Bombyx mori: one gene and its partners. The protein of the gene in region 3 purifies or fractionates together with the protein of the main gene of each other region. This does not show direct contact. Links are inferred from orthologs where the notes say so. Each region holds a gene or a part of one and is shown on either strand. Other genes may lie near its edges.

Region 1 (4,135 bases), on a different chromosome or scaffold from region 3:
TGACATACTTATTATACAACATAATTACAATTGTTTTTAACAACTAAGTCATATTATCTCTGTTTATAGGCTACTTTAAACTGGTGTTATCTTAATGATAAGCGAAAAAGTGTACAAAAATATGAATACTGCATTTCTAACTAGTCTTTTAGGGTCACGAATTAATTGACATCCTTATTTTTTTTTTATTTGATAATTTATGTAGACTATACGATCGGATTATCATGAAAAGCAAAATCATATTAATGTGTACATAGTTTGTAACGTTTGTTATTGCTTTCGACGAAGACGAATAGAGTTTTTGGAGAACATTTATTTTTATATCCAGTTTATTCAGAATGTTTATGTGATTGGATAAAGATCGGTCAGGAGCAGCGCGCGGAAGTTGTGGTTCGTTCATTGTTTTACGTATTTTCAATTTATTATTACTATATAAGTGTAGTAGTTTATAGATTACTTTTTGTGACGGATATTTTTTCTGTAGTCAAACAGGAATCTGTAATTTTCAGTGTCTTCCAACACTGTTCTTGTACAAGAAGGGTGTACCAGTTTGTCATGTGATTTAAATCTTTTCAGTTAGTTGTTAAATTTAGTTTGAAATTATTAATTTTGTTTAAATTGGTGTGACGATATTGAAATGGACTTGAATGTATTGATTACTGAACATGTCATAAATTTTAAATATAGAGATTGAAAATTTACGTTTTTTTTTTTACCTTAGCGAACAAATCTGTTACCTCCGAGGCCTAGTCGGTAAGACAACGTTGAAAAAAACATTTACCGTATTTTTTTCCCTACTTTAGCTGATAAGCCTTGAGAGGCTATGTCAGCTTAACCTAACAAGTACATGAGCTCGCGGAGCTATAACCTGACGACAATGCTAACACTAACCCTAACAAGAGCAGTGCTTCGCAGAATCTACCGCCAGATCAGAAACGCGACCCACTGAGAAGATTTAGCGAGAAACTCGGTGGGCTGTGTGTGTAAGTTACTTTACCCGCCGAGCCCTTTGTCGCAAGCGATGGGTTTGACGAGAACGATGGCCGGTACCTACCTAAAAGCCCCGTTAGTGGATCAGGAGGATCCGAAATGACGTGTTTAGGGCTTTACCGTACAAAGCGGAATCGTACAACGAATAGGACCTGTTAAAGTTACATATTTAGGTATACGTAAATAATTATTGGTTTTATTAGATACCTTACTGAAACTAGAAAGGCCTTCGGGCCACCAGTAATGTTATTAACAAGAAAAAAAAACCGTTTGATCCATAGAGACTGAACAATTGTCTTTTTTGTTTATATCAGCCGGTTGACATGGTAACGGCGTCACAACATACGTATTAAACAGGTCGGGATACTCCAATAAGATTTCACTTGATAAATTTATTTTTAAGAGATTTAAGAGATGCTAAGTTCTCGGTACTACAGCGCGTCCCGACTGGGCACCGACGCAAAACCTCGTACGGCCATCATTGTTGATGAAGATGACGAACTTTATTCCGGGTTTAATGAAGTGGCTCCGGCCCTGGACACGCGGAACCTGAGGGAAGACGAAACGTTCCAGGAAACTTTGAGAACGGCTGGGATCGGGAGAAAGTTACCCAGCCGTACGGGCACTGGGGTCAGTATTCATTCAATTCTCCACCACTTGATATTATTTATTAAATACTAGCGACCCGACTTCGCTTCGCTTCGGAAACTGTAATTTATTATTGATTTATCCACTATTTAATGGATGTTATTATATATAATATAAACCTTCCTCTTCAAGTACTTTATCTATTAAAAAAACCGCATCCAAATCCGTTGCGCAGTTTTAAAGATTTAAGCATACATAGGGACAGAGAAAGCGACTTTGTTTTATACTATGTAGTGATTACATATTTGCATCTTGTAAATCTATTAAAAAAAGTATATATTTTCATTGCTGGACTTTGTAATATTCTCAAGTGTAGGTATATATGGCGTAATTGAGACGATCATGTTAACATATTTACTAAAATGGTGGTACATGTTCGATCCGACTCCTTACCATCGTAGCCATCAGCCTAATTCTGTTCACTCAGTCAGAATCAGAGTCTTAATCTCCAGGTAGACTGCGCTACTGCTAACGCGTCTTAGAGGAACGTAATTATAATTGGTAGATGGTGCGGCTTGGCACGGTAAGCATGCGAGACGTGGGTTCGAGGTCCGGTACATCAGCACGTCCCGTGACCGCACTGCGCGCTGCTGGGTACACCTCGGCGTCACGCGATCGACCCATGCCCACTCAACATTTGGAAGACAGGTGTATTTAATCATTTTTCAATCAACATCAAATTTCTAAATACGAAATAACAGATTACTAATTGAAATTTAATTTATTTATTAAATTCGACATTAAAAAGTTAGAAATATTAGTATTCGAGTAATGATGAAAATTCAACTATAATCACTGATTCCTCAATTCGTAAATGTAATAAAAAGTAAAGTTAAATTTCATACGTAGATATTTTTATTATATATATTTATTATATATAGTATCTATTATTATTTAAATATGTTATTATTTATACCTTGTTTTTAGAATATCAATGAATTGTTCCAAAATGTTGTACAAAATATTTAAATTCTTCCTAGAGTACCAGTAGTAGTCGACATTGATATTTAGCAAGTAAATTTAGTTTGACTGGCTCCCAAACTTTGGCCTGGATTTTAGAAACACTTGTAGGTGCTCTTAAATTAAATTGATGCGTGTTACAGCGTCGAAGATCGCGTTAAGCAAATGGAAGCACGAATCATGGCATTGGTGGAGGAGTCTTGTTTACTGAGCGCCCGACCAGATCCTGATGATGATAGTACTACTAGAAAAGAACATGACTTGGGCCAGGTTAGCTTTTGTTGAATTTTTAATAAGATAACAAATTGTATAATGATTATTTGGTTTATACACATAATAGAAGGCGATCTGTGATTGAAAAATGATTATAAAGCGATGCGACTCTACGGAACCTTAAATCCCTTGACTATTTTTTTTTTCAACGATACTACGACCCTCGAACGTTTTTATCAATGACGTACGCGATGTAAAAATTAAATTCTTGTAAAAAAAACTTAATCTCGTCTGTTGTAACTATATAACCTATGGAAGTACGTAAATTTATCTAATGTAAAAAATAAAATATTAAACGTTATTTTAAAGGCACTTGCAAAGGCTCAAGAGGCGTCCACGATGGAACGACAGCTTATTCGCATGCAAGAACAAGCGAACTTGGGTGACACTCACAACTTGGATTTGACTTTTGCTGTATGTACGACTTAACTTCCAACTTTTTGTATGACAACTGCGGAAAAATAGGCAGGATTATCGTACTTATCCGTGTGGGCTACCAAGAAACTTTACCATTAGCAATTACGTAAATTATATTAGCAATACTACAAAATCTAAAGTATAAAAAAATATTTTAAAGCAGCCATAGCCGCTTTGTAAGCTGAATAAAGTTTTAAACCTAAACCTTGTCACATTGCCCGTGACAATCCTTCACTGTCACAGACTATGTATGAAATACACCCATTTATTAACTCTTTGACTGCCATGTAAGCCACTGGTGCCCCACGTGACGTGTTGATTTATGTTACTAAGGCGGTGGAACATCTAGTAGACTCTGGGAAAGACGAGTCCGAAGATACTGAGAATGAATATATTGCGAAGAGACCTTAAAAACTAAAAGGTACATTAATAGAGAAGAAAAGGTAAAGTTAGGCAATCCAAGTGCCTTCGTAAAAGAAATCGACATCATTAGTTCAGTGCGCCACGTAGGGCACCGGTGACCTACAGGGCAGTCAAAGGGTTAAATCTACTCGCTGCTACCCGTGATACGCAGATGGTACTACTTCAAAAACCTTCCCTGAAATTCTAGCATTTGTGCTATTTAATTTCCAAGTCCATCATGTGATGTGAGCGATGTTCGTATGCATAGATAATTAAACATACAATTAGGTATTATATCTTGTTTAGAGATAAAAATAAATTCAATATTATTATGATAAATTGCAGGTGCTTTGTAACTTGGCGGATCAGTACGCACTGAACGAGATGTACACTGAAGCACTGAACACGTATCAGTTGCTGACTAGAAACAAGTTGTTTCCGCATG
Region 2 (3,478 bases), on a different chromosome or scaffold from region 3:
CCGGTGCATCGCTTCAACACGAATGCACCGGACGTCTTATCCGTTAGGCCACAACGACTTCAAAAAGCAGCTAATCCTTATCCTCTTTTTCTAATCTTTACTTAATCATTCCTTAATACAAACACAGAGAAGACCGCAAAATGAAATCCGGGTGCCACCGGGTGTCTTTAAAACTTTTTTTTTTTTTTCGTATGCAATTTTATGCAATCGTATGCAATATATATTGATTTCAGGAACAATCGACGATCACAAAGATACTGGCCGAAATGACGGTGGAGCAAAAAGATCAGTATAATGAATTGCAAACTACGGCTGCAGCATTAAGAGAGGAAGTGGAGCAGAGCAGAACGCAATTAGATCTCTTGAACAGAGAGAAAGAAGAATTTGCTCGGGAAATATCGGGATCGCAGGTAATTGTTCAACATCAACATCGATATTGTCCGTTTTTTTGTTATAAGTTCAGCGCAGGAGCTTGCAGCCCATTTGACACATGTGACATGTGGTCAGTGGACCGCACAATAAGACGACAAATAGAAACGCATAACTGCCTCGTAATACAAATAGGTAGGTCGATAATAGTTTATCCATTTACACAAAAAAAGTGGATAGTACGAAAGAAAAAACTAATATTCTAAAACATTCTCAAAATACTGCCAAGGCTTATGTTACCCACAACATTGACTTACAACAGTCGTAGCTATTCGAATCCAATAAGTGACTTTAATAGAAGCACCGTTTCCTAGATAAAAGTGCACCTTCTAGAACTACATCGAAGGCTGGTCGCCGTCGAAGAAAAACGCGACAACATGAGAAACGAAATAAACAATCGATTGGATCCGCAGGAAGAAAGGGAGAAGTTACTGTCCCAAGTATGTTCATAACAATCATTAAACAATTTCAAACGACAAAATAAATTCAGAACCATCTACTAAAAGTCCATTATCTCAAAGATATGTTGATATACCTGACTCATTATTTAAAATTAAAGCAACCGAAGATCATTTACTTTCTTAAACGTTCGTCCCGACTACAGAGTCAATTATTCTGAGAAGTTTGTCATTTTAATAGATGAAAATCAATGTCAAAGTTTCGTTTTTTTTAATTACATTTTTATCAGTCAGTATTCCTGATTCATTTTAATCTAGTAAATATCTCAGGTGCGAGAAGATAACGCCGCCATAGCGGTATTGGACAACAACGCTACGAATTTGAAAGAACAGATCAAGAAAGTTCAAGAATTGATTGAGCAGTCTGAACAGGTTGGTTATTTTGATATTAAATGATTTTCCATTAAAGCCAATCTATGAACTAAACGAACTTGGAATCTACTCATCCGTGTTTCTCAATTTTTCCCTTTGACATTTTCAAATAAAATATATTTTAGGATCTCGAAGAAGGCAACTCCGAACGCCATCAGAAATATCGCGAATTGAAAAAGCGAGAAGAAACAATGGACTCGTTCATGGAAACGTACGAAGAAAATCTGAGAAATGAACAAAATAAAATCGATCAATTGGAAAATGATATCGTGTTCGCTTTAGAGCACAGCAGTTCCAATATTGACTTAGATCTTAGCGAAATAGATAGTTTAAAGCAAAGGGAAGGCTACACGTCAACATATGATGAAAATAAGAAATCCATCGATGCACTCACGAAAGATTACGAACGTTTTCAAGCAAATTTGAAAAAGGTAAAGTTTTATAATCTAATAGCTGTACCCGTCTGCTTCGCTGGGCATTTAAAATTAACATTATTATTTCTCACCCCACAAAGATTCTCATCATTAACGCCCCCGCAACTGGTGTAGGGAGTCCAACACTCATATAAATATTAGCCTATCCATTAAGTACATGTACTTTCTACACGAATACCAAGTTTCAAGTCAATCGGATGCACGGTTCAGTAGTTATAGCGGAACATCCGTAAAAATCACTATAGATTTATATATTAAAGTAGGTATAGGTTTTTAGTATATGACATTTGAGGCCGACCAAATCACGGTCGTGGCAATTCTTAATATTTTTGTACTTTAAATAAATAGAAAATGATGTTTCATTCATTAAGAAGACGCGCTTATGATCATCACAGCATCTTCGTCATCATAACGAAATTACAATTGGCTCTCATTGCTTCTAATAATTCGTTTGAGAAACACAAACACTCATTGTTGCAACTATATTTGTTTTGAACAGGAAAAAGCGGATTTGGTTTATGTAGATCAAATGGAAATTGCGTATCGTATTAAGAATTATTTTTCAGGCAACAGCAACACGAGAGAGGTTGGCTACTGAATTACATACTCTGCCGGAAAAGACGCGCGTCATGAAAGAAGAGTTGGTCACACTGAGCGACTTGGAAATGCTTCGAGAGCAAGGTACATAAGTGTTGTTTTTTCGGATTAAATCTTATAGCGCCATTGCGTAGTTGTGTTTCTATAAAATACTGTACTTTTTTTTTTTTATGATTGAGGTGGCCCGAAGGCCTTTCCAGTTTCACCAGGACAGGTGGGCGAGCAAAGGCTCAGCCAAGAGGGGTGGGATTTGCTAACAACTGCCCGAGCGCCTCCGAAGGAGACCTAACAACTCAAGAGCAATTGTTTCGCGAATGAATCTACTACCGGATCGGAATCGCGACCCGCTGAGAAGATCCGGCGAGAAACTCAGCGGGCTGATGCATGGGTTAGGTTGCACGTCGACCTCTTTGTCGAGTTCGACGAGTACGGTTACCGGGGTCCCTAAGCCTGCCCCTAGTATTAGAGCTGAAGGCATCTAATGCAAAGGTTATTGGATCTGATGGATCCGTAAGGACGTGTCTAGGGCGTCGACGGTGACTGGCTCCTGCATGATCAGGATTCGGGGAGTAGTCAGCGGCGGCAACGATAAGGCGATTATCATGACGCATAGCCTTATCGAAGTATCGTTCCGACGCTGACTTCATGTATTTCCGAATTGATTCGAGGCCCAGGTCGTCGTGTAGGTCAACGTTCCTCACGAACCACGGAGCCCCGACAGCTAACCTGCAAAAGCGGGATTGTAGGGATTGGAGGGTGTCTATGTGTGTGCGGGCCGCGTGAGCGAACACCACACTCGCGTAAGTCATGACGGGCCTTATGCAAGTTTTGTAAAGTGTCACCTTGTTCCGAAGGGACATTTTACTCCGCTTACAGATCATGGGGTAGAGTCTACCGAGAATAAACGCGGCACGGTCACGGATTGATTTTATATGCGGGCGGAATGTCATCGATGCATCCAGGGTAACGCCCAGGTACTTGACCTTCCTGGCCCAGGGTATGGGTTGTCTAAAGAGAGTAATCGGGGGTGTGAGATTCCTCCTCCTAATCCGGGAGGAAATCCGTGTGGAGCTTCCCCTCTGAAATAGTACCACAGTACTTTTCGCTGGGTTGATGTCTATGCGCCATTTTCGGAACCACTGTCCTAGGGCTAGGGCTGCGCTCTGAAGCTTCTTCGCGATTAGGGAC
Region 3 (3,659 bases):
GAACCTGTATTTTCTTTATATTTAATCGTTTTAAATATCATTTCATCATTTATGTATGTACCTTATATACTATTTATTTAGAGAATTTACTTTACCGGTTTGGGCCGCTCAGTGCCAACCTAGAGACCCAAGACAGAAAGAGAGATTACCTAACAATTTTTCTATATTTGTTGATATACGGATTGCGGCTTTTATAATAGGCATCCGGATTAAAATTAAAAAAAACAGTAAAGACTTTCATACCAATTTAAACACCAATTACAACATATGATGTTGTCAGTGGCTAAATGTGTTAAATTAGACTAGGAACCTTTATTTTACTTGGGCTCTAAATGATTTCGTTTTCAATTAAAATGTAAAAAATCTCAACCTTTTTTAGCCACAATTTACATAGAATTATACGATAACTTTTTATTTTCATTTTTAAGTTGAACAGTTATTTGGTGAAAGAAAAATTACCACAAGAGGCAGCTCACATACAGAAGGAATTGAACATTATGCAAAACATCGCCGCCGAGCAACATCCTAGTCGATCGGATCTACATGTGGTTCAAGATAAGGTTTTATTTATATTTATCTATAGTTCGTTTATATTTAAAAAACTTACTTTCATCACAGTTACGTGTTGCAACCGAACTGAGTTTTATTTATTTATATATCTATCTCACTGCCTTTACACATAAAGGCTGTGCCGTGCCACTTTTAAAACCGGAACGGAAGTATTCTCGTTCAATGAATTTTACTTTTACTGTTCCCCCTTACCGCAACAAGTATTGACCCTTTTTATACTGAACCCACTGCTTTCATTTACAGTGAGTTTTTAGATGCTTCACACCGTCAAGTTCTAGAATGAACGAGGTCCTTTATTAGTAATAGACAGTTACCTGTCTGTATTATTACTTACTAGCGACCCGCCCTCGCTTCGCTTCGGAAACTGTTATTTATTATTGATTTCTCCACTATTTAATGGATGTTATTATACATACAAATCTTCCTCTTCAATCACTCTATCTATTAAAACCGCATCAAAATCCGTTGCGTAGTCTTAAAGATTTAAGCATACATAGTGACATAGGGACAGAAACCTTTGAAAACAGTAAATAATAAAATGATTTTAATTTTAAAACGTCAAATTTGAACCTACGCAAAATAAAACAACATTTTATTTGGTTATAAGTTAATATTGAATTTGCTCAGTAATTGCTTCGAAGTTATGAATTTTCCGTATGAGGTTATTTACATTGAGAGTAAATTAGGGCATCCAGAGTGGAGCGTAGATATTGTTTGTTCATACATGTGTAAGTAGATACCTACATAACTATTGAACTTGATTGTACGAGATTTTGCTTAATGTAATGTAAATTATTATTATATAATTGTAATTCACTAAATACTATCGGTTAAAATTTATTTATATCAATATTTTAGACAGTAGAATTCAAGTAACAATCAAAAACACTTCGGGAAGTAATCTATTTATACAAAAGAGAATGTATGTATGTTCACCTAAAACTCGAGATTAGTTAGTCTAATTTATATGAAACTTTGCAAACATACATAAAAGGGCGACATGCTCACTCCGACGAACATTGTTACGTTAGTGTCGGACAGGCGGCGCTGGTGGTAGGGATTTTTATCTTTGGAACAACATATCGAATTCATATGAAATCAACATATTATATACATATATATATAGCATTTTTTCTATTTAATTTACTAGGAATTATAAATAGGAATTGTAAGTTGAAATAAACATGGCGTTGCTCTGAAAACAAAGGTTTTATTATTTTAATAACTTAAAACGTACACAACAGATCACATTGTGGACCTATAATAGGTATCTCACCTGAAAACAAAGAAACGACAATAAGCCCGAACATGGCAGATGTCAACCCTTCAATATCAATGCATGTCACCATTATCGACAGGGCCATCTATATGATTACATAAGAGCTATAGAGCGCTGTAAAAATATACTATAAAGGAATGTAGTATCTTTACATATATTTACATGAAACTCTCTTGGCCCTTCATTTATTATTATTTAAAATTCTCTCATTTTTTTTTATTAGTTTGATGGATGGACTAGCTCACAGCCCACCTGGTGTTAAGTGGTTACTGGAGCCCATAGACATCTACGACGTAAATGCGCCACCCACCTTGAGATATAAGTTCTAAGGTCTCAGTAGAGTTACAACGGCTGCCCCACCGTTCAAACCGAAACGCATTACTGCTTCACGGTAGAAATAGGCAGGGTGGTGGTACCTACCCGTGCGGACTCACAAGAGGTCCTACCACCAGTAAATCTTAGTAGTATTATCTATGATGGTCGAAGCTAATGCGCGGGAAATTTAATATATTTAATGAAGGGCCAAGAGAGCTTCATTTACATATATATATACATATCTATATAAATGAGATTGTACGTCAGTATGTATTTATACATATGTATGTATATGTTTGTTCACCTAAAAATATATTTATTTATTTTTATTGACCCTGTAGGGAAAAGAGCATACGGCCTACCTGATGGTGAGTGGTTACCGTCGCCCGTGGACTTCAGCAATACCAGGGGTAGAGCCAAGCCGCTGCCTACCTACCCTATCTTACGTAGTTACCTTTCTGAATCGTCTTATAGCTTTTATGTTTTACTGGCTGACCCGGCAAACTTCGTATTGCCTCAATCGATAAATAAAAGATCTAAACTTTTGTATAAAATAAACTTAAAACAAATAAAACGAATCGGTCCGACGGGAGGAAACATCAAAGGAAAAACAAAATTGTTATTTTTATTTGATTCCAAGCATTTTCATATTTATCTACCTTTTAAACCTCATCTAGACTTCCACAAATAATTTAAGACCAAAATTAGCCAAATCGGTACAGCCGTTCTCGAGTTTTAGCGAAACTAACGAACAGCAATTCAATTTTATATATAGAGATTATCAAATTGTATTTAGTTACGAGCGAAGCCACGAGTGCCGCTGGTGGTTATGTTTAAATTTGAAATATTCATATATTATAATAGATCGCTGTTGTGAACGGGGAAATGGAGCAATTAGTTCAGCGGAAGCTAGCAACCTCTGGGCCTCAAGAGGACAAATTGGCTCCATTCAGACAACAGGCCGCCGTGATCAGACGTAACAAGGAGACGAGCGCGACGCGGGTTCACGAGCTCGCCGCCGCTCTGAAGCAGCACGAGGCGACGCTCGCCGATCTTCAATCTCAGGTAAATTTCGATTGGAACGTTGTCTCAATCAATCTGTCTGTCTGGGAGACGGGCGTCGGCTAAAATTAATTTGATATCGTTTCCAACATTGTGCGCGCGTACAAAATATCTATTTTCTCCGAGGGATTTAAAAGATAAATTTGTTTTCAGTTGCAATAAAATTTTTTATTTACTAGCTGACCCGGCAGACTTCGTAGTGCCAAGACCTAAACTTTTGTATACAATAAACTTAAAACAAACAAAAGGAATCCGTCCGACGGAGGACACATCAAAGGAAAAATTGTTATTTTTATTTAATTCTGAGCATTTTCATATTTATCTACCTTTTAAACCTTCTCTGGACTTCCACAAATAATTCAAGACCAAAATTAGCCAAATCGGTCCAGCCGTTCTCTAGTTTTAGCGAGACTAACGAACAGCAATTCATTTA

The links.
Region 1: the proteins of intraflagellar transport protein 81 homolog (region 3) and intraflagellar transport protein 88 homolog fractionate together in Homo sapiens (co-fractionation; 3 studies listed by BioGRID and IntAct, with this or other methods). This does not show direct contact. The link is inferred for Bombyx mori from reciprocal best matches to the Homo sapiens genes IFT81 and IFT88.
Region 2: the proteins of intraflagellar transport protein 81 homolog (region 3) and intraflagellar transport protein 74 homolog purify together in Homo sapiens (affinity purification with mass spectrometry; 3 studies listed by BioGRID and IntAct, counting the BioPlex papers as one, with this or other methods). This does not show direct contact. The link is inferred for Bombyx mori from reciprocal best matches to the Homo sapiens genes IFT81 and IFT74.

Annotation. Positions count from the first base shown.
Region 1 is NC_085119.1:6,950,734-6,954,868, forward strand, and holds the start of intraflagellar transport protein 88 homolog, read left to right. Parts: upstream 1-1,320; 5' UTR 1,321-1,404; coding exon 1,405-1,620; intron 1,621-2,143; coding exon 2,144-2,286; intron 2,287-2,741; coding exon 2,742-2,868; intron 2,869-3,180; coding exon 3,181-3,285; intron 3,286-4,035; coding exon 4,036-4,135. UniProt on the Homo sapiens protein: Positively regulates primary cilium biogenesis. Also involved in autophagy since it is required for trafficking of ATG16L and the expansion of the autophagic compartment.
Region 2 is NC_085111.1:14,773,229-14,776,706, reverse strand, and holds part of intraflagellar transport protein 74 homolog, read left to right. Parts: intron 1-233; coding exon 234-410; intron 411-743; coding exon 744-869; intron 870-1,157; coding exon 1,158-1,259; intron 1,260-1,384; coding exon 1,385-1,690; intron 1,691-2,259; coding exon 2,260-2,374; intron 2,375-3,478. UniProt on the Homo sapiens protein: Component of the intraflagellar transport (IFT) complex B: together with IFT81, forms a tubulin-binding module that specifically mediates transport of tubulin within the cilium. Binds beta-tubulin via its basic region. Required for ciliogenesis.
Region 3 is NC_085116.1:10,003,236-10,006,894, reverse strand, and holds part of intraflagellar transport protein 81 homolog, read left to right. Parts: intron 1-428; coding exon 429-560; intron 561-3,028; coding exon 3,029-3,229; intron 3,230-3,659. UniProt on the Homo sapiens protein: Component of the intraflagellar transport (IFT) complex B: together with IFT74, forms a tubulin-binding module that specifically mediates transport of tubulin within the cilium. Binds tubulin via its CH (calponin-homology)-like region.